Linked DNA regions of Caenorhabditis elegans. The protein of the gene in region 2 interacts with the protein of the main gene of each other region in a pairwise test. Each region holds a gene or a part of one and is shown on either strand. Other genes may lie near its edges. The genes, in order: F45D3.2 and gakh-1.

Region 1 (4,716 bases), on a different chromosome or scaffold from region 2:
TGTTTATACTCCAAAAATATTTATTCATCAAGTATCCCAATCCAAATGGTCACTTACTTACAACTGACGATTAAACATACTAAACATTTAATTAAAAAATTATTCAAATTGTTTTCGCTATTCAAAACTTTAATTCACAAATGCAAACTATTCGAAATCTTATATGATTCATGTTAGACTTTCAACTTTCTTCTGATCGCAAGTACTCCATCAATTTGTCAAGACGAGAGTTGGCCTCTACTGCCAAAGATCTTATTTTTCTCGATAATCTTGAATCACTTTCCATCTCTATTCCTCTTCTTCATTAAACTTTTTATAACATGTCAAGGTTTTTATTGGATCTTTGTTTTTAGTTAGTTGTGACCCAATCACTAACGTCACCACAAGAATTCTCTTTCCAAATACAGTAGCCAAATTCCCATGAGGTTTTCACATCGACTTTGGTTCCCAGTCTCCACCAAGGAAGAGATAGAGGGTACATCAATTTGTGTAACGGGTCCTTCTTTTTCCGTCTTTTTCTTCTGAGCGTGGAGAGAAAATGTGTGTGTCGTCTATCTCTCCATCATACTCTACATGCCCTTTTGTTATTTCGCACTTCCCCGCAGCGCCAGGCCTCCTAGGCATCCCCAGACTGAAAGGTCGACCTCTCATACTTCTCCATTCCTTTTCCTTTCCTTTTTCTTCCTTATTCAAGCTTAATCTTAGTCAGATTTTCTGATAGATACTGACTCATTTTTTCTTCATAATGTAACATAACACATAACACCTGCATGTGAGATCTTGACGTGGTCAATTTGTACTTTTTGCTATTTTGTTATTGCTTCTCTAATCTGATCTGGTCTCAATCACATTTTTATCTTCCGTCTTCATGATGCCTTTTTGTGATAAGAAATGAGTTAGATAATAGAAATGAATAGCAAAAAAGCGAACTTTTAGTGATCACGATCAGAACAGTTATTGAAGAATAAAAACAAAACAAAAAGTTCATGATGTGTGTCCATGTGTCTGGTACATGTGTCTGTTTCAGTTATTCTGAGAACTACGTCAATTTCGTGCTCAAGTAAATTTTCATATTCCATAGTTAGAATATCAATCAGCTGCTATCTCTTGTATATTTGCCAACAAGTGCAGATAAATTTAATATGAACTATCTGAGCAATGCATAACCTGTGCCCAATAATGTTTTTAGTTTTACATCATTAATTTCAGCTGCTCGCATCTTATTAGTCCTTTCCATAATCTTCTTTCTTCTCCTCCTCTTTTGCACTTTTCCTAGCATTCTCAATGCCCCACCCACCCCCTTCTTCATCTTTTTTTCCTTTCCGAGAGCGTAAGTGGGCGGAGCCTTCTGTCGAGATGCCAGGACGTCAGTCACTCATTGCCATGCTACTCACGTTTTGGCTTGTCATTTTTTTGGTCACAGTTGTCAGGAAGCTTATCAAATCGTTTTACGCTTTCACGCAAAGTTCTATTCATATCAGTTCATTTTTGTAAAAGTGCATTTGAGTCACTGATTGTTTTTTAAGACATCGAATCCCTCATTTATCCGTCTAACCCTAAAATTGGCATCCGATCTTCCTTAAATCCTCATTTTGGCATCTTGAAAATTATTAGTTTAAGCAAAAAGTTCAGTTGAAGTACACTTGACTTCACCTTTTCAGTTTCCAGTTTTTGTCATGATCATCATCGTTTATATACCATGAAGGGCACCTTCATATCCTTTTTGGAACCAATTGCGCACGCCTGTCTGTCTCTAAAGCACTTCTTGTTTTTCATATGTGAGTGTGGAGAGTGAGAGTAAACCGGGAAAAAAACAACGACAAAGCTAGAAGGGAAAGTAAGAAAAAATAGAAGGAAAAGTGACAAAATAGAATAGAATAGACGTGTGTGTGTGTGTGCGTGGTCTGTGTATTGTTGAGGACACCGGTTCACCACTTTTTCCCTCGAATTCCCTGTTTGGCAGAGACTGAAGCTGAAATTTTTTGTTAGACTTCCGACATTTTTCCATCAAAACTTGATCACATTCGCTCAGAGATGAATCTCCAGTTTCAGTACACTTGCGGGCGCCGCCGCCGCCGAAATTCTGCACTTTGCCTCCAGATTCCCTTGTCCTTTTTGTTTTCGACACTGCGATTTGTCGTTTTGATTCACTAGTCTGTTCCTCCTTTTCCTATTTTTCTAATTCCTAAACGATTACAGTGACATTTGAAAAACGTTCGAATATTTTCAGGGATATCTTCTTTTCCCTTGCATTCAAAAGAATAAGAAATGGACCAACTGACTTCCCAGCTTGGAAGCGCTGAGCTTCAGGCTCTTATTGCTGCCTTGCCACATGATTTGACTCTTAACCCAGTAACTGTAAGTTTTAAATCAAATATGCAAAATATAAATCAAAATCTCATTATTTCAGAGCAAACCATCATCTGCATCAAGCAGTGATTTATCGGCATCTACTTCTACATCTTCATGTATTTTTCCTCCAATCAACGATATGACAGCACTTTCAATGCTTTCCCTAGGTGCCTATCCTGGCCTGTTCACTGGATTCCCACTTTTGTCTACTTTGCCATACTTGAATCTTCCACCACACTCAACAATCGAATCATTGGGACTTATCAACTCAGCCCTTTATCAACAACAAAAAGATGTTCAAGCTGCAATGAACTCACCAGTTAACCAATTTACTGCTGGATTAGCAGCTGATGGACGCCCAAGAGCATTTTCAAGCGCTGCCACTTTGCAACACGGAAAAGATCAAGAGAAACGACGAAAGAGAACAAGAAAGATGGAACCATCACTTCCAATTACAACAAGTACCATTACATGTTCCTCGAATTCGTCTCCCTCATCAAGCTCTATAACTACATCTGTGCTCCGAACATTAGTAGAAGATGATGATGCAGATGTGCATCCAAATAAAGTTCGACCAATTCAAGTAACAAAAGAGGAAGAGGATCTTGTTAGAAGAAAAACTCAAGAATGTAAGTCGTATATTCAAATTTTATAAATTTAAATTTACAATTCTAAATTTCAGTGCTCAAATCCATGCCCCTTCAAAAATTAGAGCCAGAAGTCAGCGCAAGTGGCCCACTTCGCCGTCTTATTCGAGACGAAGACCTTCCAGACGAGGTCGGACCAGATTCGCCATTCCGCCACTACCCAAAGTATCAGGTACACAAGTTAGTAGTTTTTCGATTCTTCCTTTTCTTAATAGTTTAAATCGAAATCTTCTCTCTATTCTTCTACTTTTTTCACATTTTAATGATATTGTCGTGCTTGACAGAACTGCATATTTTACAACCAATTTTTGTTTTAGAAAATTAATTTTAAAAACGCAGCTCTGGTGTGAAAGTAAAGTATTTGATTTTTATTTGATCTGTCATTAAGTTTAAATTGTTCAATAAAATTTCAATTTGCACACTCTTTGAAATTTGAAATACATTTTTTAAACTCTTTTTATTTTCAGCAGAAGCCCCGTTCACAACTAGTCATGCTTCAAGGAATCCAAGCGGCAGTCGCATGTATGTGCATTGAAGCTTTTCAACTCGACGATAAAACCGATGAGGAGAAAAAAGCTTTTTGTCAAAAACAACAAGGCCTTTCACTTGATGATTTGGTCAAGGAAACTGTGCGTCAGGAACTTGTAGCTGCAGAGTAGAACGTTTAGCTCTCATTATTTATACCTATCCACTTCTTTTTCGTTTTCAACCAGCTTTTACTCTAAGTTCAATTTTACTCAATATGGATAGGTTACAGTTTTCCCCGTTGAAATAGCCCCTATTTTGCTCTCAAAAACTACTCACTATTACGTCTCAAGGATCAACCGTTGCGTGTGCATTTTTCGTCTCCCCGTTCCATTTTTTGCTCTTCTCTTTTTTTTCTCTTTGACTAGAACTGTTTCTTTTGGATGGTCAAAGAGGAAAATTTAATTTTAATGTTTTTGAACAAAACTTCAATGCTTTAATATTTTATGTCCGTTTCATATTTTCCAACTTTGTATTTCCTGTTTTAAGCTTAAACCTTCATTTCCAAACGTCTCAATGTAATTCTCACAACATTGCCCAGCCTTTCAAATGATTAACATTTTTTTGTAAAAATTAAACGTTTAAATTCTAAAAATAATCAATCTGTACAAACAAATATGAATAAACATTCTGCAAATTGATAAGTTCATCCAAATGTAGTTTTCAGAAAAAAATAACACATCAAGTACCGTACTATTTTAAATCATGTGGCTTAGACTTTTGAGTTGTTTTCGACAAGTTCACGTCATTTTTCTCTCATTTCCAGTTTCCGTTTTGCACTTTCATTGATCAGTTACCCAGTTTTTAGGAAAATAAAAAAGGGCAATGGGGGATGCGGAAGTCTTTCAGCAGAATGTCACATTTTCAGAGAATGACCTTCGAAGTTTAGATGAAGACTGTAGTTGTTCAAAGCATAAACAAAATTTACAGTGAACTTACAACGTTTGCAAGTGCTTTTCAGAAATATGACTTATGAAGTACAGTTATTCCTAAGCAAACAAAAATGTGCCTGATGAAATAAGTAGCTAAACAACTCAAAAATAGAACGTGGGTGTCCGGTAAAAGCACTTTACTGTTTGAATTTGATTCAACAGCATTTTAAATAGAAGTGTGATAAGACAGCAACAATTTATAAGTTGGTAAATCAATTTTAGGCTATTTTGAATATTTAAAATAGGAAAATGTGTTAGTT
Region 2 (5,373 bases):
TGAACATGAAACTTCATCTATTGACATTTTCTGCGAGTACACTGCCCATGTTCAATTGGAACCACAGTTGTTACACAGAACAAGACAACGGCGGCAGACGACGCACGGAACCGAATTGGGAAGGGATTGAAGATTCCCGCCTCAAAGTGGTTTGGATACTGAAAATAGACATTTTGTAGATATTGTTCTCCAAATTTCCTAAATTCTTGATACCTGAACATTTTTGAACAGTGACTCTTCAAGGCTACATCCCATATCATCAATAATAGGGTATGGCTGGAAACCTGGCTCATCCGAGCTCAATGTGCAATTTACAACTTGGAGGCAATTTCCAGTTATTGGCTTACACTTTATTTTATAGTAAATCTCGTCGTCAAGAGATGCTCCTGAAATTTTTGAACTTTTTGAAACAATAACAGAGGCTGTTTGACAGACATTGTATATGTTTGTAGTTTTTTACAAACTTCTTTTTTTTTTAAATTCAAATTTGTTATTTTCTGAAACTTTTTTCAAACACCAGAACTAAAGCATACCTGAAACAACTTGTCCATAAGGTCCCTTTTTGTGAATCGAAAAGTCGCACGTTATACTATTATCAACAGTTTTCGACAACAAGTTCGGTTTTTGTTTTGACTTATAGATGGATAGCGTGGGCGCTAGAACGCTAAGAAAAAGTATGAATACGAGAAGTTGGTTGGACATTTGTATGCTGGATCGATTCATTCCATTCTGGAGATACCCCGATACAAGTAGGTCATTGCGTTCGGAACAATGTGTTCTTCTTGATTTATTACTTTTCGTAGACGATAAAACATTTGAATTTTTTGATGTACAAGTTAAGAAGTAAGCATAATTTAGGATACATTTTATTTACAGAGAAACAAAAAAATGAAGGAATGAGGATGGATTTTTTTCTGAAAGATTTATAAAATGAGTATTGAAGAGAAGAAGATACTCGTTATAAGTACATTTCCATCTTTCAATTATTGGCAAAATTCGTACAAAACATTCACAGGACGGGAAAGAAAGTGAAAATATGATAAATAACTATAATTTTTGAACTACTTTACTATTTTAATCTATTTCTTGGTTGACATTTTCATCATATCGCTGACCATATCATCCAGGCTGGCAGAAGAGGATGACGAACCAATTCCGTTTTTTGAAACATCGACTTTGGTCAAGTTCTTGTTCTCCACTTGGCGTATTGGTTGTAAAACTGAAAAAGGAAAAAGGAAATGAGATTTGAAAAGAGGATATCATTTGGTTTGGGCTGATTCCTTTGATGAATCATTTAGTGATTCATGAAGAGGAGGTTGTAACAAAATGAATACATAGCAAATGATAACTGCGTAGAGGAACAAACCGTACCAGCTTGAGAAGATTCGGCGGAAGGTGTCGTGTGTCGGAGCATCAGGTCGTCAAAGTCAAACAAGTCTCGTGAAGATTGGGATCGTACCTCTGGTTTGTGCTCAGCTGAAGACAAATTATTTTTAACATAGGGAAATATATTGGAAATTATTCGTAGCTGCTCAAAAACATATAATGTTGTCAGACACTTGCAAAATTTTCACAGAAAAGCTTTCAATATATTCAGAATGTTTGGGAGAAAGTTTCCAAGTTTTGACAGGAAGTAGCCTTATTGCCTTCATCTAAGCACCGTACAAATCATCAAAAATTTTAATCTGGTTTGAAGGTCCCCTTTTAAATGACATAGGATTCGTTTGGAATTCAATTGCTGTTCAATTGCTTTCCGCAGTTTTCAGTGTCCTAAATCTTACCAGTTCCTGGCCAATTCTGTAAGGATAACAGATCTTCGCTATGTTTTGCAGACAAATTGTGTGATGCTGACTCGCTAAACGGATCGAATACGTCTTTTTTCGAAACATTCACCGCTGGCGGTGCTTGACTAAAGTCTCCCCAATCGTTTGCAGAATCATTCTGAGAACTATCAGTCGGCCATGAAACTTTGAATGTTGCAACTGGGGCTGCACGAGGGCTTGCTGTTGTGGGTGGTCTCGGTGGTGCGTTTTCTGAAAATATACTGGCATTAGAGAAGTTTCAATCAATTCATTCACTCACTCTCTTGCTGTTGATTTGATCTATGTGTTTTTGGCACAAGCTTCGGAGATGTTGAAGGGTGCCCGGGGCGTGGTGTAGTATTTGTTGGCTCCATTCCCCATCCCATTTTATTCGTCTGCTGTACAACTGTATTTTTGAGTGATGTCAAATTGGAAAATAGTTTGTCCTGCATTGTAAAGAATCCTTTTGCAGCTTGCGATTCGATACTTTGCTCCGCTTGTACCGGTTGAACATTCATCAGATCGAGTATATCCGTGAAATCAGTTTTTGCAGCTAGTTTTGGTTGTTTCTGCATTGCTAGTTTCATGTATTCCTCAATTTTTGCAGCAGTAATTCGTTCATCCGGATTGGGTGTCAGACACTTTGCTGTAAGTTGGGTTTATATTTCTTTATTTATTATTTTTACGCCCAGCAGAAAACTCCTTACCAATTAAATCTGCAAACGCTGATAACTGGTTTTGCTGAACCGGTGGTGGCTTCTTGTACTTTCCGTTGATAATTGCCAGCGCTGATCCATCAAATGGATGCTCTCCAAACGCAACAAAATAGATCAAACACCCCATTGCCCAGTTGTCTTGTTGTTTTCCGATAGGCCAATTTGAGTAGACATCACAAACTTCTGGGGATCGGGTGATAGGTGTTGTGTATTTGAACATCTGAAAATTAGATTTCAATTTCATTTAAAATTTATTTCGGAATGACCTCTTCCTGAACCGCTAATCTTTCGGAATTTGATAGTGGTGCCATCTCGATGGACTTTGTTGTAGCACTTCCAAAATCGCATAGTTTTAGTTTTCCTGAAAAATAGTTTTAGCTAAAATCAGCAACGAAAGACCAACCATTTCCGTTTATAAGCAAATTTTCTGCTTTGATATCTCGGTGGATGGCGCCGACGGAATGCAAATATACTAGGGCTCTTGTTGTAAAGTAGATTATGCGAACGACAAAGTCAATTGAGACTTCTTTGTACTTGAGAAGCACATCCGCAATTGAAACTGAAATAAAATTTAGTTATATACATTAAATTGTATGTACATTAAAGGTGGAGTACCATAATCGGAGACTTTGCTTTTTTAGACCCAAAATGGCCCAAAACTATCCAGTTTTGTAATGAGACATTCTGAAAATTGAAAAAAAACTGACTGAAAAACATCTCAATCAACGAATCAACAAGTAATAAATTAGTAATAACAAATTACACAAAATTCGGTAGGTTTGGGCCATTTTGCGTCTTTTTTCAGACAAAATCGCCGATTTCTTTCGGTACTCCACTTTAACAATATACTTTTTGAGAGTGAGTTTGCAACAAAAAAAATTCAACCCACATTTGCAATATTCCATTGATATTTTGTACTCTTTCACGGACCGATTTGAACTTCTGCTTTCAGCTGACGCATCAAACAGTTGAATAATATTTTCGTGTTGGAGCTTCTTCATCATATCAATTTCATTATCAATATCCTTCGTCGCGGCTGCATCGTGGCTCAGCATGATCTTCACGGCGACTTGTTTTCCCTTGGTGTTGGTCGCAAGAAACACCGTTCCAAAACCGCCTGCAAAACATAAGCTCTCTTCGAAAATTGTCATTTATGGCCACTAACCTTTGGCTATTACCTTTTCCACTCGATAATTGTTTCCGTTAATGCTGAATGTCTGACCACGATCGTAGAGCTCACTCTGCTCACTGATTCCTGCGCCTCGACCGACAGATTGAATCACACCAAGAGCGCGGGCAAATGCCATCTTGGAAATTGCAGATTTATAGTAGAATGAGTGCATTAAAAATAATAAAATGTGATAGTTTTATGAGCGGTGCATCAATATGAAAAAGGAAAAAAATATATGAAAAAGTATAAGACCAGGGATAAAAATGTACAATTTACAATTTAATTCAAAGGTCTCAGGTGGTATCTATAACATAATTTTTTTCAAAATTAAGAATTGGACTTATGAAGAACATTCTTTTCTCAATTTACATATCTTGCTTCTCAAAAATTATTCTAAATTTGCAAATGATGTTTTTACACGTTTCAATCAATAAGAAATACGCTTAAGCCTTCCTATCTTTAAAGCTTCATCTGCATAGAATATAAAGTACACATTTCCATTAGCGCAAGACTAACGGCAAGAAATTCACATTATTTGTCAGGAATAGGATAGATTCCATCTCGCATCTACTGAAATGTACTCTCGTGGTCGAAAAATCCTGAGAGAAGCGGAGTATTTGGGCAGCAGCAGCGAAAGTGGGGTGTCGGTTGGCAACGGAGGATGTGTTGTTGGCAAAATTGAGCTAATTTGCTTGGAGCGAGTTTGAAGAAAGCCAATAATTTAAATGATCATTGATCAAAAATAATTGATGTTAAAAAAAAAGTAGAAACTAACACAATGTTCTTCAATTTTAAATAGAAAAGTTCATATCACATCTATTGCTTTTTTAATCGTTGCGAAAATTTTCAATGTTTTGTTGAACAAGACAATTAAAACTTTCTTTTATAAGAAAACGGGTTAAAGGTTTCATTTAATTTTTACAGCAAACTGAAAATTTTTTGCAATGACAAAAAACGATTTTTTTCAGTGCAAAACTTATTGTTTGTCAGTGCAGCATTTATTGCAAGACTGTGAATGTTAGTGTACTGATTTCTGTTTAAAAATAAATTCACGTTGTAATAAATTAGGAAAATCAATGAAAAAACGCAAATGTTGCATACAATGCGCCCTTTTTTGGTGTGGGGGAACGCACACGAAACGCGCCAAGTGGTGGCTGCTGACGCATTTGCTACCTCACAACATGTAACAACGTGGAACCAGTTGCAGCTCTCGTAAAAACAAACATCTTTTGTGATTTTTCGCTCAACCAGTTTTACCGAAAACTTTATGTAACATTACTTTTATCTTTTTTTGCGTTTTTTCTGTAGTCTTTCGATTATCTTCAACTTCTAATGTATTTTAAATCATAATTCATTCATAAAAATGGTTGAATTCAATGGCACCTACTTGGCAGGTGGTGATACTCGGGAGCGGTGATATACTCTCTTTCTCCTTCCTTTTCGAGAGTGTCATTTCTATTTTCAAACCACAACCACCACATCAGCTCGCGTGCGGCTGCGACGCGGTCTCTCTACATTTCGTGTGCCTCCTCTTCCTCCATTTGCCCCTTTCGGTTCAGTTCCCCTTCTTTTCTCGTCGCTTATGTTTTCGTTTTCATTTGTCCGGAGAAAACCTGTTTAGGAAAGAGTCGTTCACATAAACGCCCGTCACTTATGCCCGTTGACATCCAAACTCTTACTTTTG

The links.
Region 1: the proteins of gakh-1 (region 2) and F45D3.2 interact in a two-hybrid assay, tested with the Caenorhabditis elegans proteins (one large-scale study listed by BioGRID).

What each region holds. Positions count from the first base shown.
Region 1 is NC_003283.11:12,538,810-12,543,525, forward strand, and holds F45D3.2 (Homeobox domain-containing protein), read left to right. Parts: upstream 1-2,229; 5' UTR 2,230-2,268; coding exon 2,269-2,358; intron 2,359-2,410; coding exon 2,411-2,981; intron 2,982-3,034; coding exon 3,035-3,171; coding exon of another isoform or gene 3,172-3,179; intron 3,180-3,466; coding exon 3,467-3,658; 3' UTR 3,659-4,168; downstream 4,169-4,716.
Region 2 is NC_003284.9:5,781,857-5,787,229, reverse strand, and holds gakh-1 (Protein kinase domain-containing protein), read right to left. Parts: upstream 3,826-5,373; coding exon 3,684-3,825; intron 3,636-3,683; coding exon 3,408-3,635; intron 3,078-3,407; coding exon 2,922-3,077; intron 2,880-2,921; coding exon 2,785-2,879; intron 2,739-2,784; coding exon 2,510-2,738; intron 2,449-2,509; coding exon 2,083-2,448; intron 2,034-2,082; coding exon 1,782-2,033; intron 1,477-1,781; coding exon 1,372-1,476; intron 1,220-1,371; coding exon 1,080-1,219; 3' UTR 775-1,079; downstream 1-774. Other genes in the region: F46G11.6 (ZP domain-containing protein), read right to left, coding at 18-158, 214-386, 534-702.